Linked DNA regions of Xenopus tropicalis. The protein of the gene in region 1 interacts with the protein of each later gene in a biochemical or structural test. Links are inferred from orthologs where the notes say so. Each region holds a gene or a part of one and is shown in the gene's direction. Other genes may lie near its edges. The genes, in order: ldlr, mylip and pcsk9.

What was found.
Region 2: of the proteins of ldlr (region 1) and mylip, one has a biochemical effect on the other in vitro, tested with the Homo sapiens proteins (4 studies listed by BioGRID, with this or other methods). The link is inferred for Xenopus tropicalis from reciprocal best matches to the Homo sapiens genes LDLR and MYLIP.
Region 3: the proteins of ldlr (region 1) and pcsk9 form a complex in vitro, tested with the Homo sapiens proteins (3 studies listed by IntAct, with this or other methods). The link is inferred for Xenopus tropicalis from reciprocal best matches to the Homo sapiens genes LDLR and PCSK9.

What each region holds. Positions count from the first base shown.
Region 1 is NC_030679.2:138,979,045-138,988,424, forward strand, and holds the end of ldlr (low-density lipoprotein receptor), read left to right. Parts: intron 1-462; coding exon 463-585; intron 586-851; coding exon 852-974; intron 975-1,064; coding exon 1,065-1,184; intron 1,185-1,314; coding exon 1,315-1,440; intron 1,441-1,548; coding exon 1,549-1,720; intron 1,721-2,296; coding exon 2,297-2,524; intron 2,525-2,813; coding exon 2,814-2,932; intron 2,933-3,048; coding exon 3,049-3,188; intron 3,189-3,361; coding exon 3,362-3,503; intron 3,504-3,935; coding exon 3,936-4,088; intron 4,089-4,205; coding exon 4,206-4,472; intron 4,473-4,582; coding exon 4,583-4,663; intron 4,664-5,125; coding exon 5,126-5,286; intron 5,287-6,532; coding exon 6,533-6,568; 3' UTR 6,569-7,900; downstream 7,901-9,380.
Region 2 is NC_030682.2:92,599,112-92,610,269, reverse strand, and holds the start of mylip (E3 ubiquitin-protein ligase MYLIP), read left to right. Parts: upstream 1-3,960; 5' UTR 3,961-4,113; coding exon 4,114-4,200; intron 4,201-7,617; coding exon 7,618-7,808; intron 7,809-11,158. UniProt on the Homo sapiens protein: E3 ubiquitin-protein ligase that mediates ubiquitination and subsequent proteasomal degradation of myosin regulatory light chain (MRLC), LDLR, VLDLR and LRP8. Activity depends on E2 enzymes of the UBE2D family.
Region 3 is NC_030680.2:97,737,133-97,747,521, forward strand, and holds part of pcsk9 (proprotein convertase subtilisin/kexin type 9), read left to right. Parts: intron 1-726; coding exon 727-918; intron 919-1,669; coding exon 1,670-1,793; intron 1,794-2,322; coding exon 2,323-2,456; intron 2,457-3,232; coding exon 3,233-3,374; intron 3,375-4,505; coding exon 4,506-4,702; intron 4,703-4,956; coding exon 4,957-5,140; intron 5,141-5,395; coding exon 5,396-5,566; intron 5,567-6,194; coding exon 6,195-6,343; intron 6,344-8,522; coding exon 8,523-8,700; intron 8,701-9,867; coding exon 9,868-10,049; intron 10,050-10,389.

The sequences.
Region 1 (9,380 bases):
ACTGCAGACTGGAAGACTTGACATCCCATAATAAGTTGGTTTCTCTCAAATAGTGACTCTGCACGGCTTGCACATTATGAAATACATATTAATTATCTTATCGGTTATATTCCTGTTCGGCACAAGCAATCCTTGAAGGCCATTCTTGAAACTACAGTGGTCTTTCTATTTGTTATAATACACTCCTATGTATTTGCACTTACTCAGAAGGTTATAAAAGCTATGAGCGCGTAACAATAAATTGAACAAGTTTGAACTGCCTCTGTGGTTGCGTCCTTCTTGTTCCCGTATATACGTCTTTGTCCTGGCAGTAGAGCTGCCACAGGTCCCTACACTTTTAGTGAGCTGTCGGGAACCCTAAAACACCTCTACCCTCCTGCAAAGATACAGTGGCACGGTGCTGTGTGCATCTAGGGTAAGATAACCACTTTGTTATTCACTCCTATCTCTATCTCTCTTCAGTGAAACCCACTTGCCGCCCGGATGAGTTCCAGTGTAACGATGGGACGTGCATTCATGGCAGCCGCCAGTGTGACCGAGAATATGACTGCAAAGATCTTAGCGATGAGGAGGGTTGTGTTAATGGTGAGCATCTCATTTGCCCAGACTGAAAAAAATATAGCATGTGGCCCATTTTGTTTGTAAAACTGCTGTTCCTTTAATGGACATTGTTTAACAAACCAGTACTGTAGAAGTGTTCATGGTCATTACTGTATTTGCCATAAGGTTCATAGAGTTTATGTCCGAACTGCCAAGCTGAAAATGATTGATTCTTACCTACATATGGCATATATGTATGGTCACACGTGATCTTTAATAATAAGGTGTCTATTTTGTTTTTCTACAAACAGTGACAAAATGTGAAGGCCCTGATGTATTCAAATGCCGCTCTGGGGAGTGTATCACAATGGACAAAGTCTGCAACAAGAAAAGAGATTGCAGGGACTGGTCAGATGAACCCATCAAGGAGTGTGGTGAGTATCAACCTGTGTCACATAAGGACTAATCACGGCACTTGCCTCGTTCCTTAATCATGATATTTAACACCAACCCTTTCTCTTCAGGTGAAAACGAGTGCATGCGAAACAACGGCGGCTGCGCCCACATCTGCAATGATCTTAAAATAGGATATGAGTGTTTGTGCAACGAAGGGTACAGACTTGTGGACAAGAAACGCTGTGAAGGTAATTTTAGCTTTTTTTGGAACTTTTTAGCATCAGAGTTTTTTTTTTTTGGATCTTTGTAGCATCAAAGGTACTCAGAGTACTTCAAATCCAGTCTAATGTTTTCTTTCCCTTCTTTTCTTTTATCCAGATATTAATGAATGTGAGAACCCCAATACCTGCAGTCAGATTTGCATCAATCTTGATGGAGGCTACAAGTGTGAATGCAGAGAAGGTTATCAGATGGACCCAGTGACTGCATCCTGCAAATCCATCGGTAAGTACAATGCCAAGCCTGCCTGTGGGCTTTAGAGCTTCTTTGTGCTTGTCATCTGTCAAAATATCCCATGGTCTGATCTGTTGTTTCATTCCTGTGCACGTGTAGGAACTGTGGCTTACCTGTTCTTCACAAACCGGCACGAGGTGAGGAAGATGACGCTGGATCGGAGCGAATACACAAGCTTTATCCCTCGCCTTAAGAATGTGGTGGCTTTGGATATGGAGATTGCCAGCAACAAAATCTATTGGTCTGACCTGACTCAGAGGAAAATATACAGGTAATGGCGAGACTGGCGTTGCTGCTTTACACCCCAAACTAGTTCTCCTATATGAAGGGTGGATGCCCTCTCAGATCAACCTCTTGCATGGTAAAGAATGCCCAGTCATGTACCCTCTAAATACTGCATATGTTGTTCACCTTTTAAATTAACTTTTAGTATGATGCAGAGAGTGCTATACTGAGACAGTTTGCAGTTGGTCTTCATATTTGCGGTTTTGGAATTAATTAGGTTTTTATTTAGCAGCTCTCTAGTTTGGAATTTCAGCTGTAGCCTGGTTGCTAGGGTCCAGTTTAACCTAGCAACCAGGCAGTGGTTTGAAAGAGAGACAGGGCTATGAATAGTGGAGGGCCTGTATAGGAAGATTAGTAATAGAAAGTAACAAAAAGAAAGTGACCATTTGAAAGCTGGAAAGGTGAATAGGAAATCAAATAATTAAAAATGGAGACCAATTGAAAAGATTCTACAAATAGACTATAACATACTAAAAGCTAACCTGAAAGTGAGCCACCCCTTTAAGTGAGCTTATTACATTTACAAAGGTCTAATATGTCATTTCTTCCCAACCATAATTAGTGCATCGATGGATAAGGCAGACAACACGTCCCACCACGAAACTGTGATTAGCAGCCAAATCCAGGCTCCTGATGGCATTGCAGTGGACTGGATCCACGGGAACATCTATTGGACAGACTCTAAGTTCAGCACCATTTCTGTGGCCAACACAGAGGGATCAAAAAGGAAAACTCTTTTCAGTGACGATCTGGCAAAGCCAAGGGACATTGTGGTGGATCCTTCTCAAGGGTAAGTCAGGTGGAAATTACTTGTGTTATATTACACTGCAACAGAACTGGGAATTAGAAGGACGGCATGATGCTCATAGGGGCCAGTAATAGGGCTTAGTCTTGGTTGTATACAAAATAAAATGAAGGCTATGAATACAGTGTTAGTGAGAGAAGTGATCCCTTTTGGCGATGTTTATGATGCCGTGTAAGTGTGTCAGAGATCCCGTTAGCTCTGTGTTGTATATAAACCTATACATTGTTACCTGCTGCAGCCTTAAATGTTTTTTTTTTTTTTTTTTTAATTACAGGTTTATGTACTGGACTGACTGGGGCCTCCCAGCCAAGATTGAGAAAGGAGGCTTGAATGGAGTTGACAGATACCCCTTGGTTACAGAGAACATTGAATGGCCCAACGGCATCACATTAGGTGAGCAATCTTTTACCTGCGGATTACTCCGCATACTTACTGTTCCATAAGCTGGTCTTCCTATTGTAACAATTTCAATTTTCATGATGACATTCTCCCTTGTGTTGTATATTTAGACTTAACCAACCAACGGCTATACTGGGTGGACTCTAAGCTTCACTCTCTGTCCTGTATTGATGTCACTGGGCAGAACAGAATAACGGTCATATCAGACGAGACCCACCTGGCTCATCCTTTTGGGCTCACCGTCTTTGAGGTAAGCTGATAATGATACCCAGGCTTTGCCCAGCACACAAATAATAAAAAATAGTGTGGGGCAGCATAGGCTGTTATCTTATGAGCAGATTGGCATCAGATAATTATGGGATGGAGGTACCATGTGTAATCTCATGAAGTACATGTGCTGACGACGACCCCTCTTTCTTTTAGGATCTTGTATTCTGGACTGACATTGAAAATGAGGCCATCTTTAGCGCAAACAGACTGACTGGCAGCAATATCACGAAAGTAGCAGAAGATCTCTTGTCTCCAGAGGACATTGTCTTGTACCACAACCTGAGGCAACCGAAAGGTATGAGCCACCCTTACAGCTTTAATTGTCTGCAATTAGATGGTTTTATTGCTGAAATTCACCCATTAGGTTTTAGGGCCCAACAGATGTTCTTAAATAGGATGATTAGAGCTGCCTTCTGCCATGTTGCTCCTGTTTTTTCAGTCCAGGGGAATTGAGTGCACTCTGAATAGTGAGATGGTCTGTCAGTGCTTCCACATAAGAGGCGCACATAGTGGCGGGAGGGGCAGGGGGACCTGTTCTCCCAAGGGGCCTGCTGGGGCACATTAGCACCGTGTTTTATATAGGGGTATAAATGTATGGTAGAAAATGATTGCCCCACTATGTGGCTCCTTACTTACCTTTCTATAGTTATAAGTCCAGCAGTGTTACCTTGTACTCTCTCTTCTGTGTCCAATGAATTTAAACTCATCAATTTTTTTTCTGCCACAGCTGAAAATTGGTGTGAATCTCACCACCTTGGCAATGGCGGCTGCGAGTACCTGTGCCTTCCAGCACCGCTCATTACCTCACGTTCTCCCAAATTCACCTGTGCTTGTCCAGATGGGATGCACCTGGGGGCAGACATGAGGAGCTGCGTGAAAGGTAGGCCCCTTGCTTCAGATCTCTCGGAACGGTTCTCTGTGTTCCAGGTTGGCTAACTTTTTTGTGCTGGCTATTCAAAAGAAACCTATTCTGATTTATTGTGTCCTTACTTTCCAGAACCAGTGTTACCAGAGACCTCTACCACAACCACCACTTCAGCACCAGTCACAACCACTACAACAACACGTCCCACTACTAGGAGCACAACACTGGCTAAGATTACTTCAACTACCTCAACTGTTGCTCCACAGAGACCAAAAATGGCCAGCACCACTGTAGCACCACCAAGGCCTACCACAGAATCCCCTAAAACAACCCAGAGAATGGTTACAGAAAGAGTCCCTGATCGTACCACATGGGAGCCTGTGACTCATTCACAACTAGGTATGCACAGTCGGTGGGGACGGTGGGGGGTGCAGTTATGTATTCTCACCTGATATTGACTTATGTTTATGTAACATGTTTTGCTAACTGCATTTTTTCCCTTCCTGTAGCTGGAAATAAATTTGCTAATGAAGGAGTAGTTGAAAGTGCCCGATCCCATCCCACTGCTCTCTACATTGTGCTCCCTATTGGTGAGTTCCTCACTTAATCCATGAGCTTCTCTGCGATGAATGTACTTGGGTATAGATGACTTATTTGTACTGTGTAGTTTTGTCACGATGTCGGGTGGCAGTGAGGCTATTGAATGTCACCTGAAACCTTCGCTGCTAAACATACCTGCCATTTGGCCGGGACCATAATGTCGTCCCAACACATTTGTCTTGTGAGCGTTTGGCTACTAGTGGAGGTGTTGGCTGCCATGTCCAGAGCCTCCTTTTTCGGCCCACTTAAATCTATCCAGTTACAGTAACTCCTACTTTACACTGACTATGCTTGGCACCATGGCAGGTTCTAATAGAACCCAAAACTTGACTTCTGTAAGCCTTTATCATGTCAGCCTTTATACAGAACATTGAAACAAGGACAGGGTAGTGTTGTTTCTAAAGGCAAAATATTGCAATTGGTCTAACTTTTTAATGCTTTTCTCATTCTAGTGATACTTTGCCTTGTTGCCTTCGGGGGATTCCTCCTCTGGAAGAACTGGAGATTAAAAAATACAAACAGCATAAACTTTGATAATCCCGTGTACCAAAAAACAACCGAGGAAGACCAGATTCACATCGGCAGAAGTCAGGATGGATACACCTACCCTTCGGTGAGCATAATCCCACTTCTAATGTATCCATTCAATGAAGGCGCAAATTTGGTTTTGTTTGTTCCCTTGAACATTCAGCTAAGGCTCAATGGTCCTTTAATGCTCTTTAAGGGGAAATATATACCCACCCAAACAACGATGGGCTTTTTCTATTTTAGCTTTTGTGATATTAGCAGTTTAACACTGCCAATATCATGAATGTGTTACAGGAATGCTGTCTGCTGGGGGGGGGGGGGGCAGAAGCTTACATTACTGAAGCAGGAGGCGTCTCTTGATACTTTTATGCAAAATTCTGTTGATCAATAGGATAAGAGCAATGGCACTGAGTAGTAGGTTTTTTTTAATCAATGGAGAGCACACTGCTAGATGGAAAATGAAAACTAATAAGGTAGAATAAGGTGCAATAAAGCCCAAATATACTTCCCCCTCCCCACCCCCAGGTACATCAAACTAAATAGAGAAGTAGGGCTTGCACTCAAATAAAGCAATACACACCAGTGGTATTATCACAATAAAAATATCTTCATAAGGTGTTAAATGATAACAACACAGCACAATATTGCTCTTATGTTGAAAATACAACCACATATAATACATACCACCAGATAAGCAAGATAAGGTGGATACCCCCAGTAGCTTTTATTTGTTTAGCAGCTCTTCGGTTTGGAATTTCCACAGCTCTCTGGTTGCTATGGTTCAATTCAACCTAGGAACCAGGCAGTGGTTTAAAATAGAGACAGAGAAATCAGTAGAGGAGGGCCTAAATAAAAAGATAAGCAATGAAAAATAACAAAAACAATACAATTGTAGACTCACAGGGCAACAGTTTTTGGTCAGAAGAGGAGAACAATTCAAAAAGCATACAAAATAAAAAATGAAGACCAACTGAAAAAGTTGGTAATAACAGTCCATTCTATAACATAGTGAAAGTGAGCCACCCCTTTAATTATCTGACAGCTAGTCCATCAGACAGAACAGCAGGGGGTGCTCCAGTTGCAAAATCCATGATAGTAGTAGTGTAAAAATGGTAATATCATAACTAAAAGAATGTCAATTGCTCAGAAGAGCAGCTTTAAATGAAATTGTTCAATTTAACAGAGGGGGCCTATACCCATGTATACAAAGTGCTGTGTTTTTGGGACCAGCCCCCCTGTTGTGTGTTTTTCTCTATATAATTGAAATGAATGCTAATGCTAAGATCGGTCTGTACTGGTCACTAACGTGTTTCTGTGTTTCCCATTCACAGAGGCAGATGGTGAGCTTGGAAGATGACATTGCTTGAACAACTTGACCACTCGTGTGCCTGTCGCCAAATGTTGCTGCTTACTGTTTCAGGGACAATACAAATAACGACGAAACCAAAACACACTTTTTTTTTTTTGTACATTAGTTGTCACTAAGTCCAACCCACGCAGCCCAAACGTTGATTCGTCCTCGGCGATTCCTAAGACTCAACCTACAAATCGCCCGTGGACTTCACTTTTTTTTTGTGTCTGAGATAATTCTATTTAAGTTTAATTTTTTCTTTTTTTTTTACTGTGCCATGTTTTATGCTCTATTGCACACTAGTAATGTGACAATTCCCCTCGGAAACGAGAGATCTTACACGAAGGAATACGGAAACACAATGGCGAAACTGCACTAGGGGGGACTGTGAAGGACTTACCTACAATCCTGGCTGGGGTTATATCTGTCTTTTGTTTTGTTTTAAAAGCACAATATCTTGAAGAAAAAAAAAAAACACTAAAAAGAACCAAACTCTGAACGGGAGGGACCCGGTGGGGGAGCAGAACTTGCAGCTTTTTTTGTTTTCTATATAGACTTGTGGACGTCCCAATCTGCTCAGGTTGTCGGAGAATGTTTACTACCTTTTTTCGGGTAGCCATATTTGGCACTGCCTTCCTGATAGGATGTAGCAAAGTGACAAAGGCCACTAATTACCCACAAGTGCCTGGTTCTACCATCATTCTTTTGCAGCGGTTCCACTGTTGCCCCCGCCCTCCGCCTGCACTTTTTCCCCCCCCCTCTCTCCTGCGTTTGTATGTTTGTTGCACAGAGTTGTCAATTCTTCAGCTTCCTTCTATTCACCGTACTCATGGAACAGGGTATGACGGCAGAAGCGACTTTTTTTGTTTTTGTTTGGGATTTGGATAGACTGAATGGTTCTAGGGCTTCGAGTCTGAACGTTTGTGATGTCATCGGAACGCTGTCCCGCGGATCAGCACCTAACGAGGTTAAACCGTGCCTGTTACTACTGCTGCCTTAATTGCTTCCCGGTGCAGAACTGAGCTATCGTCGCGTATATTTTTTTTTTCCTCGAAAAATCTCAGGTTTTACAATCGTTGGTTCTGAATGGATGATTTGGGACACGCCTTCTCCGAAATCCCGCCTCTGCTCTTTGTATGCAAGTATCCCTTTTTCTGCAGTATTGAAACGAATCCGTCCTGCCCGAGCCTTGGAAAGAGAGTGCTTTCTTATATATTTTTTTTTTTTGTTCTGAAGGGTGTAAATATTTGTTTCTGTACAGTGTATTGCACAATGTATTTCCTGTATGTATATTTTTTGTCATTCCTGGGAAAGAAAAGATTAATATATAATTTATTTATTTCCTAAGCTTCCACGAGTCTCATGGTTTTTATTTTGGGCTTTAATCTAAAATGGAACTTCTTTCTTTGAACTATGATCCGGCCTGAGCCCTTCCTGCCATAACTGGGTTCTGGACATTTATCTCAGAGAACATTAATGCTCACTTAAAGGAACAGTAACACCAAAAAAATGTATAAAAGTAATTTAATATATTAATGCTGTATTGCCCTGCACTGGTAAACGTTGTCTGTTTGCTTCAAATCCTTACTATAGTTTATATAAACAAAGCTGCTGTGTAGCCCTGGGGGACAGCCATTCTAAGGAGAAAATTCACAGGTTACTTAGCAGATAACCGATAAATAGAGCTTATCTGTTATCTGCTATATAACCTGTGCCTTGTTCCAGCTTAAAATGGCTGCCTCCAGGGCTAAACAGCAGGGTATTTATATAAACTATAGTAAGGTTTCTGTAGCAAACACCCCAGCTGTACCAGTGCAGGAATGGCTGCCCCCGGGGCTACACAGCGGGGTATTTATATAAACTATAGTAGGGTTTCTGTAGCAAACACCCCAGCTGTACCAGTGCAGGAATGGCTGCCCCCGGGGCTACACAGCGGGGTATTTATATAAACTATAGTAGGGTTTCTGTAGCAAACACCCCAGCTGTACCAGTGCAGGAATGGCTGCCCCCAGGGCTACACAGTGTGTTATTTATATAAACTATAGTAGGGTTTCTGTAGCAAACACCCCAGCTGTACCAGTGCAGGAATGGCTGCCCCCGGGGCTACACAGCGGGGTATTTATATGAACTATAGTAGGGTTTCTGTAGCAAACACCCCAGCTGTACCAGTGCAGGAATGGCTGCCCCCGGGGCTACACAGCGGGGTATTTATATAAACTATAGTAGGGTTTCTGTAGCAAACACCCCAGCTGTACCAGTGCAGGAACGGCTGCCCCCGGGGCTACACAGCGGGGTATTTATATAAACTATAGTAGGGTTTCTGTAGCAAACACCCCAGCTGTACCAGTGCAGGAACGGCTGCCCCCGGGGCTACACAGCGGGGTATTTATATAAACTATAGTAGGGTTTCTGTAGCAAACACCCCAGCTGTACCAGTGCAGGAATGGCTGCCCCCGGGGCTACACAGCGGGGTATTTATATAAACTATAGTAGGGTTTCTGTAGCAAACACCCCAGCTGTACCAGTGCAGGAATGGCTGCCCCCGGGGCTACACAGCAGGGTATTTATATAAACTATAGTAGGGTTTCTGTAGCAAACACCCCAGCTGTACCAGTGCAGGAATGGCTGCCCCCGGGGCTACACAGCGGGGTATTTATATAAACTATAGTAGGGTTTCTGTAGCAAACACCCCAGCTGTACCGGTGCAGGAATGGCTGCCCCCGGGGCTACACAGCGGGGTATTTATATAAACTATAGTAGGGTTTCTGTAGCAAACACCCCAGCTGTACCAGTGCAGGAACGGCTGCCCCCAGGGCTATTCTGATTTA
Region 2 (11,158 bases), on another chromosome or scaffold:
CGAAACACTTCTCCATGCCTTTGAGGAATTCTCACTCCCCAAGTCATTCTCAGAAGCAACCATTGTAGTCATTCCCAAACCTGGGAAAGATCCAACTCTATGCTCCTCATACAGGCCAATCTCGTTACTAAATATAGAGATCAAAATCCTCGCCAAAATCCTAGCAAAACGATTAGCAAAAGTCATATCCACACTAGTAGAACCGGACCAAACTGGATTCATGCCAGCAAAATCCACAAGCTTTAACCTTTGGAGATTATTCCTCAATCTGCAACTACCTCATGATAACAAGGGCTCCAGACTGATAGTATCCTTAGACACGGCCAAAGCCTTTGACTCGATTGAATGGCCCTATCTTTGGAAGGTAGTTGTCAGAATGGGGTTTGGCCCTTCTTTTGCTAAGTGGCTTAAACTGATGTACAGTGAACCCAAAGCGGCCGTCAAAGTAAATGGAATTCTATCCACCTCATTCCAACTCACTAGAGGTACCCGTCAAGGATGCCCCCTCTCCCCACTACTCTTCGCCCTAGCGATTGAACCCATGGCAATCCTGATTAGACACTCCCAGCAAGTCAAAGGACTCATATATAAAACTGTTGAAGAGAAAATTTCTTTATACGCAGATGACACGCTGCTATATCTTGCAGACCCCAATGGCTCATTTCAAACAGTACTACACATAATCAAGTCCTTTGGTATATACTCAGGCTTACAGATCAATTGGGAAAAATCCATAATCTTCCCCCTAGATGGCCAAACCCCCACAATGACAGACCCAGATTGCACCCTCAAAGTTGCTGACAGCTTCAAATACTTGGGAATAACGGTTCATAAAGAACCAGCCCAATTCCTTGAACATAACCTACGCCCACTATATAACAAATTTTCAGAGTCTCTCAAACACTGGACAAAACTACCACTCACACTAATAGGAAGAATCAATATATGCAAAATGATCTTCCTGCCGAAATTTCTATATCAATTCAGTAATACCCCATGTCACATACCTAAAAGCTTTCTACTAGTAATAAACCGAGCCCAATCTGCTTTTATCTGGGGTAACAAATCCCCAACGCTCTCAAGGTACACTCTGAATGCCCCGCAAGACCAACTAGGTCTAGCATCCCCTAACTACGAGCTCTACTATTTAGCTTCCCAGTGTGCCCATGTCGCAAATTGGAAAGTGTTTGACCCCGAGAACCCAGCTTCAATTTTAGAAGGCCTCTACTTCTCCTCAATAGAAAGCATGCACAATGCCCTGTATAGAACAAGAAGGGATATTAGCCCACTACTCCCAGTTTCAGATGCCACCAAAAAAGCATGGGATTCCATGACCCTATTAACCAATAAAACAGGAATAATATCACCTGACGCCCCACTATGGGGAAATAGCAACCTACAGAAATTCGCTTCCTTCCCAGAAGCAGGATCCTGGGCTAAACTTGGGGTAAAACGTATAGATCATTTATACACAAATGGAGAACTACATACCCTACCTTCTTTGCAGCAAATTATCCCCCGACCCGGCTTGTCTAACCTTAGATATGCACAGATTACACATTTATGTAGCGCACAGTTTCAACAACCTCCGAATATCCAGCACTTAGACCTAGAACGGCTGGCAGCACAAGAAAACAAAGCCAAACTGCTCTCAAACTCTTACAAAATCCTGATCGCTAAAAGATATCAAGCTTAAATGGGAAACTTCTGGGGTACATCTAGACCCCGAGGACTGGGACGAGGTCATTAGCAACCTCTATCAACCCTTAATAAGCACAAGGGATAAGCTTATACACTTTAAAATTGTACACCAGACCTATCTCACCCCGCAAAAGCTACACATCATGGGGAAAACCGAATCAGCGAACTGCCCAAGATGCAAAGCGCCTATGGCTAACTTTATGCACCTGATATGGGACTGCCCCGTACTTCAACAGTTTTGGCATAAAATTACAGAATTCATGGGTACGGAACTGAATCTCCCCCAAATATTCAATCCAACCACCTGCATACTGGGCCTCCTAGACTCTCTGGTACACAGCAGAAATTCTAAATTACTAATGAGACTGTTACTATTTTACGCAAAAAAAACCATTGCCCTACATTGGATGAGCCCCTCACCTCCAACACTCCGAAGATGGATTGCCCTGGTCAACTCTCAACTAGACCTATACAAACTTACATATCTTGCCAGAGGATGCCCGGCGAAGTTTGAAAATATTTGGTCTCCTTGGACTGACTCACCAGCTACTCTATTGTAACAACCGTTACTCTCTTAACCCCCTTTCTTTCCCCCCCCTCCTTTTCTCCCCTTCCCCATTCCCACTGTTGTTGTAAAACTCAATAAAAATCAACCTTAAAAAAAAAAAAAAAAGCACGATACAAAAAAACCGTATAAAATACATTTGAAAATACGGAAAAATTGTATATGATTGTATAATGGCCAAAAAGTTAAATTTTTTCGTATCTGAATGATCGTAAAATGCAGGAAAACCTTTCTGACTTTGAACCTTCAGTGCATGATTTTCGAAGCCTCCCATAGGACTCAATGGCACTCTGCAGCTCCAACTTCGCCCAAGGAAAATCACAATACTGTAGCTTGAATAAATCCAAAACTTTCGTACTCGGCCCGACAATGCGATTTTGTACGAAAAAGTCACAGAAAATATGCAAAAGTTGAAGCACCAGCCCGGGGTATCTGCAGCGCTTCCTCCATCCTGTATCGCTCGCACGCGCATGCGCAGTAGAGTGAATAGTGGAACTTTAACAGAGAAGTCGGCTTTTCACTCTACTGCGCATGCGCCTATTGTGTTAGTTGCAGCAAAACGAAGAAGGAAGGAGGAAGCGCATCGCTCCAGGTACCCCGGGCTGGTGCTGTTTTCTCCTAACAGGGGCACCAGCCCGGGGTACAACGTAAGCAATTAAAGTCACTTGGGGGTGCTTAACATTTTGGCACCCCCAAGTGACTTAGCCTTTCCTTCTCCTTTAACTTTTAGTATGTTATAAAATGGCCTATTCTAAGCAATTTTTTAGTTGGCGTTCATTATGCTCCTCTTCTGCTAGTGATGCCCAGGTTCAAGTCTCTGATAGGGTTTGCTTGCTCTGGTTCAGGTGGGTGGCAGGTCAGATGCCTCAAGAAACCCCTCCACTTTTAGTGATGTCAGTGCTGTTGCCCCTCCCTCTCAGGATGTCACTGACAAGTACCATTGGGATGTTATACAGTACAGTAGAACATAAGGATCTGGGCTCTGACTGGCATTTAAAAACAGGTTATGTATCTGCGTCAATCTTCTGCCTCTTTTAACCTGTGGCTTGCAATATAAAATGCTATCTGGTTAAATTGTTACTTGATATTACTTCTCTTTATTTTCCCCTCTAAAAAGTACTAAATTGTTGTGAATGTCAGACCTAGTTAGTGAAACTCCCAGCAGTCCCAGTACATATAAACAAAAGGTAAATATCGGCAGGGTTCCACACAATGGGTCTCTATGCTGTGTGATTTTTAAGTTATTTTTAATCTTTGCGATGTCAGACCATTTTCAAACATGGGATCAAAAACAAGGACCATCGATCGTGGTATCAGACTGATAACAACCATATTTTAGATTATGATGATAATTTATTACTTTTCGAAAATGAAGAACAAATTAAGAAGAAGAATAACAAGAAACGGAAAAGCTGGCAAGCTGCACATGTAAAGAGCACTCAGTAGCCAGCAGACTGTCTGTGCTTGTACAGAAGCGAGACAGTACATGCTGTAACCCCATGCCAGCCCCTCACCGCCGAAGGTCCTTTCTAAACGCAAGCTCCAGGCTCCGGTTACAGTATTCCAGCGGCCAGAGAGCCAATAAGCGTGCGGGGGCGGGCCTTGGTGAGGAGGAGGGCATAAGTAAGTTACAGGCAGTGGGAGGGTTATTATCAGACTAGTGATATCCTTGTGCTGATGGTGCTGGAAGCAAGCGCCCTCCTACGCGCTTTTTATACATGCACATACAGTTGGGTGCATACAGGAGACAGGGTCGTCGGTAATTTAGGAGCGGGAGAGACAGCACGGGAGGCTGTCTGTTAGGCTTCAGTGAAGCAGAAGGATCCTGGCATCCCCCCCGTACTGCCATGCTGTGCTATGTGACGAGGCCGGATGCGGTGGTTATGGAGGTAGAAGTGGATGCGAAGGCGAATGGAGAAGACTGTCTCAATCAGGTAATTGGGTTCGAGACGTGACCCTTGTGGGAGCCATGGGTGCTTGTATGTAGGATCATCCACAGTGAGGCAAGTTTCCCATTCGTCAGTGCTCTGAGGCTGCCTCTCATTCCACTTCTAATACTTGTTTGTCCTATGGAGCTTTGCGCCCCAGCACTTACCTCTGTGCAGAATAACAGCACCCTGGTGCTCCTAGTTAGCAGGCCTACGCTTCTCTAGCCTTGGGCTATCAGCCCTGTGCCAAACGTCTGGGCTAGCTTGTCTCATTTGTATTCACCCAAACACACCAGCTAAGTAGGAGAGAAGAGTACGCATACCACCTGGCTACTTACATACATTCACCTGGCCCTGTGTCCTGTGCCAAATGGGACTCCCAATGTATAGCAGTAACTTTCAGTCTGATGCTGTTGGGCTCCAGCTTTCTATTCTGTTTATTATAAAAGACTGGCCAGCAATATAAAGTATCTAAATGGTTTTTTATGTATTCACAGCTGAACCTGGTGGGGTTTGCATGCTTGGTTTGTGAAGCTCTGTAGAAAGGTAAATGTGGTGCTGACAGCTGACTGCAATGGCTCATTAACTTTGTTAGCAGTTACCTGTTAGGAAACATTTGCGATTATTGTTATAAGTGACACCGAGATGTGTTGATTTATTGTGGTATAAATCTATGAGGAAGAGGTGAGCTTTGTGCATATGTGGGTAACGGAAGAAATAAGGAAACAAGATGTGGTGTAGTGCAAGGTCTGCGCCATTACTGATGCAAGAATGTCCCTCTACTTGTAAATACCACCCTGCACCTCAGTGTGCAGCATGTTGCTTAGGTGTGTGTATTGTGTTGTTGGGCTTATGTAGAAAATGTACATAACATTTCCTGAAGTTTCACAAATAAATATAAATGTATATTTTTTTTACAGAGATTTAACTGATTCCAAAGGAAAACATGATTGCCTATCCTGGTTCCCAGAAATGAGTTCCCCATTCCTCTAAAAAGCTTGAAGACTCTCTGCTTTCCAGAGATTCTGTGCAGCACCCACTGTGGAAAGCAGAGGGACTTCCAAGTCCCAGAATCCATACCTTTACAGTGAAACAAGATGAAGTGGGGGTTGCATTACATTGCAAAGATTTGCTGGGAAATGTTTAGTCCAAGTATCATAGTCCGTAATCAGTTATGTGTATTAAACAAAAAAAAAAAAGTATATTTATTTGTGTAAGTTCAGATAGTGTTTATGCACATTGAATGAGCTTATATAAAAAAAAGGCGGTGTATTTTCTCTTTAAATGTATTCCTGGCTCTTGTCACTGAATGAATCTAAATGAGCTTTCTCGGATAAGGTTACTTAAGATCATTTTTTTTTTTTTTTTAACACATTTATATTCACAACATCAGGTGTAGTTCATAAAATTGCCTTTAGAAAAGAGAAAACCATTCCTCATTTTTGTATATGGGTGTCCGTGCAAATACATATATACATTTGGCTTCAAAACCCTCTACTATGTAAATATAAACTATTTTGCAATTCTTGGTAAACAATTTTAAACCTCTTTTCAACATGCAGCCCTGTAACTATTCCCAAGGATCTTTTGTTTTAGGTAAATATCAACCTTTGCAGACTGTAGTATATCATCTAGGTACAAAGCTTTTATTCTAGGATGGTTTGTGCAGAATCGTGACCCATGTTTTAGCACAACAAGGAGAATTTAGGTTGTGATAGAAAGAACTTTCTATTCAGTAAGGGAATACAACATTAAACTAAAAATAATTTGTGCTGTACATATAAGGGCCGTGACAGATGGGGAGATTAGTTGCTGCGCCTTTTGAGGATACTTCAGCGATTTTGGCGCCGCATATGCCATCCCACCGGCGATTTACATTCTAGCCGGTGGGATGGCATTTTCGGGGAGATTTGACGCGCGGCGACTTATCTCCACGTCTGTCATGGCCCTAAGGGTGAAGACACACAGAACTACTTAGTAGCAGCTACTAAATGCCCTAAATCCCCTGCCATAGACAGTACTAAAAATTGCCTCTGCTAAAACACACACAGAGACAATTATCAGTAAATGATCAGCATTGTCTATTTTTGTAGCTGTGACAAGTAGCTGCTACTGTAGCTCCATGTGTCTTCACTCTTAGGGCAGTGGCACACGGGGAGATTAGTTGACCGCAATAAATCTTTGTTACCATGAGCGACTAATCTCCCTGTAATGCCATCCCACCGTCAAGAATGTAAATCGCCATTGGGATGAAAATATGCTTCGCTTCTGTTTCCCGAAGTTGCCTCCCAAGGAAACTTCAGATGACTTTGGGGAACCAAAGCGATGCATATGTCATCCCACTGGCGATTTACATTCTTGCCGGTGGGATGGCATTTTAAAGGAGATTAGTTGCCCGCAATAGCAAAGATTTATCCTGGACGACTAATCTCCACATGTGCAACTGCCTTTGGGGTAAGAACCCACGGTGCAAGTTACTTGCTTTTCACTGGCAACAATAGAAGTCGCGGAAAGCCCTTCACATCACTTCGGTAATCTGAAGTGGCGTGAAGTTTCCTCCTGCAGGCAACTTTGCGTGACTTAGGAAAATGAAGCAATGTGACAGGCTTTCCACTGGCGACTTCCTTTGTTGCCAGTGGGTGAATAACTCGCTCTGTGGGTTCTTACCCGTATAGTTTAGGGCTCTGGCACACGGGGAGATTAGTTGCCCGCGACAAATCTCCCTTGTCACGGGTGACTAATCTCCCCAAACTACCATCCCACCGGCGAACATGTAAGTCGCCGGTGGGATGGTACACGCTGCGAAGGCGATTTCGGCAAATCGATAAAGTTGTCTCGCGAGGCATTTTCGGTGATTTGCCGAAATCACGCCACCGCGTGTGCCATCCCACTGGCGACTTACATTTTCGCCGGTGGGATGGCAACTCTGGGAGATTAGTCGCCCGCGAACAGGGAGATTTGTCGCGGGCGACTAATCTCCCCGTGTGCCAGAGCCCTTAGGATGTTTTCCCCTTCTGTTACTGTTTTCCACTTACTGTATTGCACAAACCCACCATTACTGCTTTATCTAGTATTTGTTCCAAAGTAAAGAAGGCTGGCCAGCTTCATATCTTTTATCAGCTGCTTCATCGTTAAATTGTCTGATAAAGTAAATATTGCAAGTAATGTATCTGTTACTACTGTATTTTATAAGTTTCTTTGCCTTAAAAAAGCTTTATTAGTACATTGTCTTTTGGTTTGCAAGCAAGTGCACCTGTACTTTAAAATCTACTTTATGTTAAGGAAGTGATAGTCTCATCAACTTTATATTTATCAAGGCTAGCTACCTGAGAGTACTGGAATATGTTATTTTGCTATATATTGGTATACTAGACCATATCTTATTATGATTACTGAATGAAGTATTTTCTTTCTCTGTACCAGGTTTGCAAAAGGTTAGGGATTATTGAAGGAGATTACTTTGGGCTGCAATTTAGTGGTAACAAAGGAGAAAATCTATGGCTGAATCTCCGAAATCGAATATCGCAACAGATGGATGGTCTGGCGCCTTTCAGGTTAAAGCTGAAAGTGAAGTTCTTTGTGGAGCCACATCTAATCTTGCAGGAACAGACAAGGTAAGAGCCGGTGAAGGCTCCCATTTCTGGGTAAAATTGCTGGGACTTGGAATATGGCCAAAACAGCTGCAGGAAAGACAGAGTAGGACATTGCAAACGCAGATCAACAGATGTCATTTATACAGTTATTTTAATGTTGTTTGTACATTTAATAGCCATTTTTAACTACACAAATTCATGCTTTAAATAGCAACCAGGTGATTATGAATTTGTTGTTTAATGAATTCCAAACTCCAAACTTGTCTTAATGCCAGGTTTGTGAATACAAAAGAAACTGGAAAGTGTCTTAGAACTACATTTTTTTTCATTATGCAAATATTTTTTTGTGTGGACCAGAATTTTGCTAGTGTCTATGAATTTAAACTGAGGAGTTTAGAACAGTGCATTTTTATTTTTAGCATGTACATATAAAGTAAAACATTGACAATGACCGATCTAAAGTGTATCCACTTGATGATCTGGGCTCTTCTAATGAAATTATTTATTTTTAAATATTTTGTTGCAGTGACACATGCAGTTTGCCCTATAGTAACCTTAAATACCAGACTCTGTTATTGCCGGTCATTCAGAACCACAAGTACAGTAGAGGAGGAAACTCCTCCCTCTTAAACAGGCTCAAGTTTTTTCAGCATTAGGTGCCAGATTACATTCTGTTTCTGTTACATATGTATAGCTTTCCAGAGGCCTTATTAGCTTTTTATTCCTACTGGCAATCTGTTTCTTAACTATTTCATTCACAAGCACCATCATTCCTTATTTCTTAATAAACATGAATATGTTATGTTTTCTTAACAGCAATTATCTATTTGATAATGGAGGTAAATGTAAAATGGTTTACATAAACTCCACGTTCTTCAAGGAAAATGTAAATTAATTTTAAATACTGTAATTGTAAAAGCAAATTATACCTACATCCCAGAGCCAACGATTGCTGTTGGCAGAAACTTTTTATTCAAATGAATGGGAAGTGGCTGCAGGTGGAGAAGGGCAATTTTGCACACTGTAGTCCTGAGAACACGGTGGTAACAAAACTTTGTATGCCAGTCATTTAAGCATGACATTTTTAGATGGAGAAAATATCTTCGCTGTAACTGTAAGATCCGCTCTTTTGGCGAGGTTACCAAATGAGTGGATCTTCTCCCGATATGCCCACCTAAGGTGGGCGATATTGGGCTAATTGGATCGTTTGGCCCTAGGCGCCGTTGGACTGAGGACCACATCAACAAGCTGATGCGGCCCCTGATCTGACAGAATACCAAGCCTGGCCGTTCAAGGTCTGGCCAATTTTTGGTCGGTTAGGCCTGTTGGGGACCGATAAAGCTGCCTTAAGGACCTGAATTGGCCGCTGAAATCTGCCCGCGTATGGTCACCTTTAGGCTTTAAAGCACTAGTGAATCTTCAAAGCAATAAACATATTTAAGATTGTATTAAAATTAAGCAGTTTGTGGTCCCACGGAGTCTGGTGGGACAAAAATTCCTTTTAGGGCTGCAACAGACATTTTGAATGTTATCATCATCATCATCATCATCATCATTTATTTATATAGTGCCAGCAAATTACGAAGTTAAGCAGGGATGTTTTGTTGATCAAGTTCAACAAACAAGGGTATACAGAGTAACAAAGGGCCCTGCTTGCAAGAGCTTACAATGTACAACAACGGTCCTCAACCTGTGGGTTGGGACCCCTTTGGGGGTCGAACGACCCTTTCACAGGGGTCACCTAAGACACATATTTCTGATGGTCTTAGGAATAATTTTATGGTTGGGGGTCACCACAATATGAGGAACTGTATTAAGGGTTGCGGCATTAGGAAGCTGGGAACCACTCATCTACAGTGATGTGTGTTATGTTTTCCTAGTGCCAGAAGAAAAATATATAGCTTAATGTCTGGCACAAGAGATATTAGTGTTTTGAGGGAAGGATAGTGGAAGGGGAATTTACCCATGTGTACACACATGTATGTATGTTTTTTTTTTTAAATCTTATTTTTAATGTATATGAATACTCATGCAACTCATTTTTATTGAGTAACTTCAGAGTAGACTCGTCTTGTTATTCCTGTTGAGCCTCCCACAGATGTTTGCTTCAGCCTGATGTAGTGTCATTGGGCTGGAATCGCTCTAGCTGCTTCTCATAATCTGAAATTGAGCCAGTGGCCTCTAGTAAATCTTGTACTTATCTCAACTTAAGGTGATAGTGCAGAATTTTTTTTTTTCTTAATCAAAAATTTAGTTTTTACCCTCTTTGCTGCACTGTGTTTTATACGATCACTCAGAGCAGCTACCAGTAAGAAGGGGGATACAGAAAAGGTTAATGCAACTCGGCAGGAGAGAACTTTGGAATTCTTTTGTGGTGACATGCCTGTGCCAACTTTTGGTATCCATGCCCCCTTTACCATCACTTGCCTAATATAAAATAACAAAGCTATTGGGGAATTTCATTCCTTGAGGCACATTATGTTTTGTTTACTGCAGACTGTATAGGTAAGGTAATTGTGGTTAATGCCAAAAAGCCTATCATAAAACCAAAATACAGATACATTAGAATGCGCAACCCCTGGCAGTAGCATATGTAATAGTATAATTGTTGTAGGAAAGTATAATCAAGCAACGAGCCAGTCTGTTAATTTGTGTAATGGCTATACAAGTTATGCTGGAAACAACACTGGAGATTGGCTTTACGTTCTAAGTGTGGTAGTGAAACAATCTTCTACTACAATATGTTTTCTCTTTTAAGAGTCCCCCATCAGCTACTGGCAGGGAGTTGTAGTTTAAGGCATATGTTTACATGCCCTGCTATAGGCTTTTCACAAGGATAAAGGCATCTGGAAACCCCATGTTCTCTTGCTTATCCTTTTTATGTATTTAAAGGACATGTAAAGCCTACATTTGCCTACAATGTTAATCAGTTGGGCATGTCTCCCCCGCCCAAATGGCATAATTTGTACTGCATATATCCCCTCTGTTTGCCAGCACCATCACATTTTCCTAAAGCAAATAGCAGCTTTCACCCAGTTTCTATGGGATACAGCCATGCCATCTCTTCACTGGCTGCTAGACTGGGGGGGGGTGCTTAGTAATCTGAACTTAGTACAACTGAGCATGCCCAAAAGCCAGGAATCAAAGCAAATTCCCAAGGGGGGGGGGCGAGTGGGTTACAGGAGGAGAAGGAAATCTAAGTGATTAAGGAGAGGTTGCAGCCTTACTATTAACCTCTGGACAACCAGTGTGGCAGGTATTGAAAGATTTCGAAGAGGCTGTTCACTGATTAACTTTTTGTGTGTGGAGTTTACATGTCCTTTAATTGTAGAATTTTGGGTTGCACAGCCATGGCCTATAGAAAGGGTTTC
Region 3 (10,389 bases), on another chromosome or scaffold:
CATGTAAAAATGTTGATTATGTTCTTAAGTAATACGCCCACATCCACTCCCCTTTAGCTGTATGGTGCACATGGTGCTAGGGCAATATACAGGTATGGGATCTATTATGCAGGATGCCCTAGGGCAGGGGTCCCCAACCTTTGTTCCTTGTGAGCCACAATCAAAGACAAGACAACACAAGAACCATAAAAGTTAATGGAGGTGCCAAATAAGGGCTAAGATTGGCTATTAGGGAACCTCTATGCACACTGTAATCTTAAAGGGGGTTTTATTTGGTAGCAAATCTTGTTTGAGAGCAACATCCAAGGGGTTGGGGAGCAACATGTTGCCCCGAGCTACTGATTGGGGATCACTGCCCTAGGGTTTTCCAGAAAAGGGATCTGTTGTAATTTGGTTTAGAGAAACATTTAAACATAAATAAATGTAGACTTTGCCACCAATATTGACTCAAGCAGCTTAGTTATGATCAAGTACGAAGTACTTGTTTATTATTAAAGGGAAAGAGGAAATTATTTTTAAAAATTAGAATTCTTTGCTTAAAATGGGCTTCATGGCCTTTCTATGATTCCCATTTACGGATAAGAGATTGCATACCTGTACAAAAGAAGTCAATTCTCTTAAATCTCCAGCATTTCAATTTCTCAAAGAAATGTACAAAAACAAGATTTAATTCCGTAAGATTATAAAATATTTAACCCCAGCAAAAACTGTGATGTTCTTTTGTAGGAGGCCTGGAGAACTGCAGGCCAGTATGTGGTGGTGTTGAAAGAAAATATTCACAGGTCCCAGACAGAGAGAGTCATCCGCCGGCTGCAGGCAAGAGCAGCAAAGCATGGCTACCTGACCAAAATTGTTAACGTCTTCCATGAACTTTTCCGAGGGTTTGTTGTGAAAATGAGTAGTGACTTATTAGAGATGGTAAGTTTTGCAGGCATGAAAAGTACTGTACTCATTCTGCATTCCTCTAGTCTATATGTTTTTTAAAAAAACTCATACAGTTCAAACATACTATACTAGGTATATCCAAGCTGGTAGGGCCACAGTGTACATGGAATGCCAGGGCCAAAAATGTACTAACAAGATGAATACTTTGCCATGGTTCTGTCTGTAAATAGTCAATTCCAATTACTCTGCTCCTCATTAAGTCATGCACAAATCACTTATTGCTTTAGGGTGTGTACTGACTGCCAGACAGATCTTGCACATGCCTCCCTTATTGTAACATTGATGCTGCAATGCTCAGCCCTTGTTACTAACAAAGCCAATATTATATTCCAAAGTAAAACTCACTCATTTCACACAATGTTTTCCTGATCCCCTGAAAAACTCAAAATTGTGGTTCTACTATAATAGTTAAAAGTACAAGTTAATAATGAAAGTTTGTATTAAGGTGAATTACCCGTTTCAATAACATCAAAGATTATTATATAAACATGTTAGTTGGAAAATACTGTGGGTGTGAGACCTTATCTTCATGTGATGTTGATTGTTGCATCAGGTCTGTAAAGTCCAAGGTACCAGCCTGGAAATACCCTTATATTTACACTTTTTTTTAGTTTGTAAATGATTTGCACTACTGGACACAATGGGCCCTCACATTCCTTGTTGACTGTATATGCTATAATTGCCTTTCAGGAAAAGCAAATGTTCTGTGTCTCTTTCTTTTCAGGCTCTGAAATTGCCACATGTGGATTATATAGAGGAAGATTCATTTGTATTTGCACAGAGTGTTCCATGGAACCTTGACAGGATTGTCCCTGCCCAGCAAATGGCCAACCAATTCAGCCCACCTAGTAAGAACTATTTATGTATCCTTGGGTTCTTCCCAGTGGCATTTTTCACAGTAGCAGAAAGGAAAATGTCATTATCAGAAAGTAACACTTAAATAAATACAGCTCACAAAAGGAATTGCTTATGAAATGTACATAGCTCAGGCCAGGACAGCAGGTGTCAAGCAGTATATGTATTCATTGGCATCTTGTTTATAGAGACAACCCTGAAACTTACAAAAATGATCTTATATAAAAAAAAATGTTATGAGGAGCCCTGCCAGCAGAGCTGCCTTCAAGTACTTGCACATGTGGCACAATGGGTATAAGAGACACCATACACAATACAGTAGCATGATCCCAACATAACAACTGTTTATGCCCAATGTATCTTTTTGAAAAAATATCCAATTACCTCCTTATATAAAGTTATGTTCTTTATATGAGTACAAGTCCTCCTTTTTCATTGCTGTGCAATGTCATTATTAATACAGTTCTAGCTGCTGGTTCTACCCCATTTTCTCAATATGTTGGCTTGTTGTTTATCTCATAGATACGGGAGATTCTGTTGAGGTTTATCTCTTAGACACCAGTATTCAGAGTAACCACAGAGAAATAGAAGGAAAAGTGTTTGTGACAGATTTCCAGAATGTCCCAGAGGAAGATGGAACCCGCTTCCACCGACAGGTGACTTATGTAATATTTGTGCCACACTCCCTTGCGCGCTGCGTATGTTTCTTCTGTGCATTCTGCACATAAATAGTTAGGGATGCAGTAAATCCACTATTTTAGGATCCAGCCAAACTTTTTGTTAAAGATTTGTCTGAATACTGAACCTAATCTGAATCCTAATTTGCAAATGCAAACTAGGATAAGGAAGGGTTAAAGAGAACCATTGTGTGAAGCATGTAGTGAAAAATGTTCAACTTCCGTGTTTATGGAACAAAATGTCATGTGATTTTAAGGATTCAGATTTGGTTTGGCCAGAAGCATGGATTAAGCCAAATCCTGAACTGAATCCTGGATGCAGTGCATCCCTAGTTAAAATATAATGTATTCGGATTCTGGCTAGTGCAGAAGATACCAGCTTGACTCTGTAGTGCATCATTTCTTAATGCCCAGCAGAGGCCCAGCCAGCAGAAAAAACTCAGCAATCTGCAATGAATAGGTCTTATCAGTTATCAACTATGCACATCAGCAAGGGTTCTGAAATGAGATCAGATTTAAAACTGAACTTTTCCAATTTTGCCTATAATCAGGGTTGGTTTCAGGGCAGGGCATTTGCTCTGGGCCACAAACTCAAGGTACTAAAATACTCTGTGTGCCTTTGGGTTAAGTTAAATTGCCTCCATAACACTAATTATAGCTTTGGGTTTTAGCTTGATTCTCTGGTCACTGTTGTTTGAGCAGTATCTACAGAGCACATTTGTGTGTCTTCTAATGATCTCATCATTTTCTGGTAGGCTAGTAAATGTGAAAGTCATGGAACCCATATGGCTGGAGTGGTAAATGGAAGAGATGCCGGTGTAGCTAAAGGCGTAAATGTCCGCAGCCTTAGAGTACTAAATTGTCAAGGCAAAGGCACAGTAAGTGGAAGTCTAACAGGTAAGTGTATGTGGGTTTGCTATATCTGATACAGATTCACATTTTTGTGTTGCTTTAAACTCTAGGTAATGAGTAGGAATTTGGTAAATAGGGTGCAGAAGTGCAGTGGTTCTGGCACATCTTCATAAGAAGCAGAGCTTGTATTCAAGGATCAGTTCAGTGCTTTGCTATATTTTCTGTAAATACAATTACAGTTTTAGTGTAATTCCCCATTCCCAAAAAGTGACTGTTTGTTAAAGTATAGTCTTGTTTTATATAATGATGCCATATACCATGTCTGTGAGAGCTAGCCACATGAAACATTTACAATTCAGCAACATAAAGGAGAGGTTTCCCAATCAATTTCCAGCTTTTAGGACTTTGGAGTGAATCACAGGCCTGAAATGTAATTACTCCATCCATACTTTGTTTCTTCCATTGCCCAGCTTTGTCTATAATCCCATTATATTTTGCCCGTCCCTTCCTTGGGCCAGACTTGTCTTTTACTCAAACTAATTTACACACTCATTTGCTCATATACTTTTAGCATCTTTACAGGTGGTAATGTACTCAAAAGTGGTAATTACTTTATATTTCAGTTAAAATAACTAGTGTTTTGCATGCTTTTTGAATAACAGATTTTTCATAATAAAAACTTGTTCTTGCACTCTGTGAGTGCAATGTAATGGTTCCTGTATGTAATGTATGTGCCTCTGTAATGTGCCTTTTGCTTACCAGTGATTTTTAAGCTAAGGTTTAGGCCACAGGCCCTCCCCACCCCTATCAGTTATTGGCTGTTTTTGTATGTAAATCTGTATGTTTAATGTATACACCTATAACTGTACAGTTATACAAGTTAATAATAATAATGTTAATAAAAAAGGCCAATCTTAAAACCAAACCAAGGCAAGGCAGGTCTGGCCCTGAATGTGATAAGAAATATGATAGTTCACTATGTATTAAAATTGTCCTTGGATATTCACAATGTTTGCTAGAGGTCTAGTAACCCTTAGCAATAAATAATATGTTTGCATTTAAACAACAGACCAGTAAATGCAATAATCATGAAGAGAATTAAACACCATTGCTCAATATACAACTACTGTTTGTCTATTATGGCTTGGCGTCATAATAAATTTTGCCTTCTTCCAGGTCTGGAGTTTATCAGAAAAACATTGATTGAACAGCCTTATAACCCGCTGATTGTCCTCATCCCCTTTGTTGGAGGGTACAGCCGGATACTGAATGCTGCCAGTCGTGCCCTGGTCAATACAGGAGTTATCATAATTTCTGCAGCTGGAAACTATAAGGATGATGCCTGTTTGTACTCCCCAGCATCAGAACCTGAGGTAATGTCTCTCTCATGTTGCTAGTCACTTTCATGTTTCTCCTGCTTTGACCCAAGTCAGCAATTTATTGTGATTTATATCACTGTTTGGTGTGTCTAAATGTATATTAATGACCACCCCTAAAACAAAACAGTAGAAACATGAGAACCTAAATGAATTTGACTGTTTGCAGCTCACAGAGACCAAGTTTGTACTATGAATTTTTTTTTTTTTGTGATTAAATATGGCTGATGTGTGAGTATTCTAATAAACAGGTTATTACAGTTGGAGCCACTAACTACCAGGACCAACCTGCAACAATGGGTGTACTTGGCACAAATTATGGAAACTGTGTTGACTTATTTGCCCCTGGAGATGATATCATAGGTGCCTCCAGTGACTGCAGCACCTGCTTTACTTCAAAAAGTGGAACATCCCAAGCAGCCGCACATGTGGCAGGTACAAACAGAGCTTTTCTAAGCTGTTTATGTCACACACTACAACAATGTTTAATCCAAGTCACATTCTTTCTGGATTTCAGCCTTGTAGTGCCTCACTGTAGCTTGCAATAAGGCTTGGCCTCCATATGCACTATCCCAGACTCCCCTGGGGTGGCATTGCCTAAAGTTTATCTCACAACACATCAAAGAAAGTCTAATCAGATTCTTTTTGTTTTGTATTCAAACTGATTGTGATAAAATGTGTATCTTCCAGGCATTGCAGCAATGATATTAAATGACAAACCAGACCTATCAGTGTCAGAATTAAGGCAGAGACTCATACATTTCTCTACCAAAAAAGCCATAAATGAAGTCTCGTTCCCAGAGGATCAGAGGCTGATCACTCCTAATCGAGTTGCAGGGCTCCCTGTGAAGCTTCTCACAGGTAGGTTGCTAAAAGCTCTTATTATTATTGTCATTATATTATTAAATATTGTCTCAGTAATGTTGTCCCTTTTATAACTTAGTGGCTTAAAATTCAAATTTGTGAATTTTAGATTATTTTTGAATTCAAATAAACATTTTATAAAAACCAAATGTTTGCTTTTTTTTTTTTTATTAAAAAAAAAGTAATCTAAAAAACACAACTGAATAAAACCATGAAAAAAAAACTGATTGCATCAAATTCATAGTCTATGCCTCATTTTCAATGGGTCTACAAACTCTCAAAAAAGAAAATTTGAAGAATTCTAATGGCCTACATTTGGCCTAAGACCACTACCATCATCTTTTACATGAATTCTAAAGCTTTTAGATGCTAAATTTAAAATTATTTGAGAGTAATTTGGAAGCCCAAATTCGTATTCATGAGTTTTTAGCGCAAAGAATTAAGTATCATGGCAAATTTGAACGATGATAAATCAGCCCTTTTATATTTTGCTAAATGGATAGTTATTTCTATAGACTAAAAACCTTAACTGTGTCTCTGTTCTGGGCAACCTTAAAACAGTGTCTAATTGAGACTACTCAAATTCAAAATTTTGCATCACATCATCATTCATACCTCTTTTCAGATGAGGAGCTTTTTTGTCGTACAGTTTGGTCAAAACCATCTGGCTTTGCTCGTAAAGCAACAACCTCAGTTCAGTGCAGTGGGAATGAAGAGATGTTCAGCTGTTCCAGTTTCTCCAGGAATGGGAAAAGAAAAGGAGAACACATAGAGGTGGGTAGATATGGAACACGATGAGCACTTGAATGAGCAGCCTGTGGGCCTAGCTACGTTGTTTAATTGCCAACTGAACGTGCTGCACCAAAGCACTTCCACTGCTCAATAGAATTCTATGATACCTGGGTATTTAGTAGTAAATGCATTGGATTTCTTACAGTGTGTATTTGTGACACAACTCTGTTGGCAAGACTATACACATTAAAAAGCTATTTTGTATGGAAGGCACCAATTATTTCTAATAAGAGGAGTGTCAACCTGAAATACTACATTTGAAAAGTCATTCCCATACCTATTAAATTCTGCTATCCAGAAAGTTAATAAATTAAATATATGAATGTAGCATGCAATAAACTAAGTAGCAAAACCAATACCATTTATTACATCCACTAAAAAAATACCTTAAAAACAAGTTGACAAAATCTGAGAGGAACCCTTCATCATATAGTCAGAATATTATAAACACAACTGTCTGAGATACAGCACAATGTTAGTCAATGAAAAAATACAAATTGGTACACACTGCTGCAACTGCTATAAAATTGACGGCCCTCGGTTCCACAGAAGTTGGAAAACACTGCTATAATATATAAAGAGTTCCATTAATCAATACACTAATTAGCGGTCAGTTCATTGGGGGTCAAAGCTCTAAATTTATACCCAATACTCCTTCCTGCCCCTGCTCTGCATTGTCATTGCTTGATATGAAAGTTACAAACGTCTTTAAATAAGTTATATAAACTGCATGTTTAGGGGCCCAATGCTGTGGGGCCTAATAACTAGTAGTAGTAGTTAATAAATATAGTAAAAATAATTAATGTGCTAATAAATCAGTATTTTAATTTGGGGCCAGTGGAATTTACAAGTTCTTTGAAAGTAATGTAACTTATGTAAATTGTAAAGTTATGTATGTTTTTAAGCAGTTTTTGTTTACGTAAATTTTGCATTGCTGTAACTTTATACGTAACTTTGCAGCCGGGCCCTAATTTCAAAGATTTCACCAGGCCTAGTACAGTAGTACCCTCTCCCCACCCCCCACCTCCTCGATGGCGGCGCTGGTTACGCATCCATATCATACAGCACTGATGTAATAAATGATATTGGTTTATTGTGTGCTACACACATATTTTGACTTAGAACTGCAGAATAAAATAATATCCGCATAGACTCAGCCCCTTCGTGGCATCTTCCTTAAACAGGGAAAATCAGAAGAGGTGGGTGCTCACCAATCCAGCGCAGTGCTCCAATGCTGTGTAAATGGCAGCAGCAAAAAGGGAGGAAAAAAGCCTGCATCCTACTCTGATAAAAAAAACTGTCCTTTGTTAGTTACTTAAAACCATGGGTAGCTACTGCGATACAGAAAAGCCTGCTGTGTTTCAGGTTTGACCCCTTTATCATAGGCTAATGCAGCGTTTTTCAACCACTGTTCCGCGGCACACTAGTGTGCCGCGAGATGTTGCCTGGTGTGCCGTAGGCAGGGCACCAATGTACTAGGGGGGCACTGCTCTTGGCACCAATGTACTAGGGGGGCACTGCTGCTGGGCACAGAGTTACATTTTTTAACATTTTCTAATGGTGGTGTGCCTCGTGATTTTTTTCATGAAACAAGTGTGCCTTTGCCCAAAAAAGGTTGAAAAACACTGGGCTAATGAATACATTTCCTTTTAAACATTTGCAAACAGCGCCATCTACAGATCAACAAAACTACATAATACAAAATAGCTTAAAACAGAATAAGACAATCAATCAGTGGGACCAAAATAATATTGAAACCAAAAAAAAAAAAAAACCCAAAAACTCCACAGACAATACTTTTCAATAAGAAAGCTAATATATCCATATATTAAATTCCAAATGCTAAATATTAACCCACTAATACATTAGATGAATACATATTTTAATATGATTTAACATAACATTTATATAATGCATGCTTGTTTTTCAATCACCATTATATTACTATAACCAATCTCAAACAAAGTGGGAAATACCCCATTTGGATTTCAGACCTAGAGGAGTACAGGTAGATAGCTCAAAAATCCCAAAGATTTCAAGTGTGTAATAAAATCTCCCCCCCTTAAAGACAAAACTTTTAATATATATTTTAAGCTGCTATGTGCTTATACAATTTGTTAATTTAGGACTTGTGTATTTCACATTTTGGCTAAATAAACAGGAAGGAGGTGGAAGGAAGACGTGTATTGCGCACAATGCATTTGGGGGAGATGGAGTTTATGCAATTGCTAGATGTTGCATTTGGCCAAAAGCTGTCTGTCACATTAATTCTACCACACCTGAAGATGGAGAAGAGCCATCCACTGTAAGCTGCTCAAATGAGGACCACATTTTAACTGGTATGTTATGCATTTAAAGGGGAAGATTTGCAACTCCTGATCATTTCTATCTTAAGGAATAGTAAATATATGACCCTACTGTCCCTGTTGTATCTCAGTCTCATCACCTCTACCCTTTGAGATCTTCCGGTGGCCATACACTGTAATCCATTAAAAAAAGCGTATAGGATTTAATTAGCCTGTTATCCCCAAATGACCTTGCCAAACGAGCAGACCTTCTACCGATTTCCCCACCTACGTGTGGGCAATATTAGGTTAATTTGATGGTTTGGCTTTAGGGCCAAACAAAGAATTAGAATGGCAGGCGTAGACTCAGTCAAATTGGGGACTGCATCAACATACAACAATCAAACCTGCTGATCAAGATCTGCCCGATTTCACACCAGATGTCGGTCAGGGAGGCCCATTGGAGCAGGGCATAATGAGGAAAATTTGGTTTAAATTAAAAAGTATATTTACAAATGCCTGATGAACACCACTCCTCGTGATCACAAAAATAATCCATGAGAAAAAGCTTATAGGTATATTCATAATATATTTATTTAATGCCAATGTAAATACCGGTGACCCCTGCAAACAGGAATTGTACAATTGTCTATACTTGTGCATACAACTTTATAAGCATGTTTGACTTTACATTGTTACAGTGCTGATTTTAGGCATTTATCAACTTTTTTTTTTTATCATTTTTAATTTTTCCTATAACTAGGTGCAGGCAGTAAAGGCGGGGTACAACTATTCTGTAATAGGAAGGGGCATAATATATGTTTACTGCAGTATGTGCAGCACAACATTCTTTAAGAGACTAATCGTAAAACTGACTCCTAGTCCCCTCGCCTTGTTAGCCAGTCTGCGCAACCCCCTAACCTGACAGGGTGGAATGTTTTGCTGTAGTGGGGAGGGTAGCAGATTGTCAGATTAGCCTTGGGTGCAAAAGCCCATTCACCCAGCTTTGTCTCTAAGGGAAGGGGCACACGTAGCAGATTGCCTTTCTTTCTCATGTGCTCATTCCTGTAGCGCCATTAACAGGCCCAGCATCTGCCAGTGTGGGGCTACACGGAGTGGATATTAATGCAAAAAATAATGCAGTGGATATTGATGTATACTATTGATGCAAAAATGCATGCTATACCCTCGGCATAGCAGTAATGGAATGTTGTTGAACAGGGTGCAGCTCTCATCATGGGTCTGGACATTTGAGTGACTTTGTAAGGCCCATACACAGGGCTGGCAATGAAGGCTCGGCTTGTGTTGGAAAAAGTGAGGTCACTTCCCATGCTCTGTGCTGCCATGCACCAGACATTGCCTGCAAAGTGAAAGAATATTCTCCCGTGGGCTTTATGGACAAGGTAAGAAGTGTCACAATAAATTGTATTCTTTTAAAATAAGCCGTTTAGAACTATAACACACAGTGCTACTTGTAGCCAGATATTTGTCTCAGCTACAAAATACCCTGCCATAGACAATAGAGAACTGTCAGACAGTTCTCAGTAGTGTCTATTTTGTAGCCGTGACAAGTCGCTGGCTACAAGTAGCTCAGTGTGTCATTAATTACCTTTAGGTTCACAGGACTACTGTACCTGCAGCTGTGAGATGGTTTACACACATCCTAGACAGACCCTGAAAATTGAATGAAAGTGCCAAAGCAGAGCTGTTGATTGGTTAAAAAGAAAAGGGATATAAAATAGT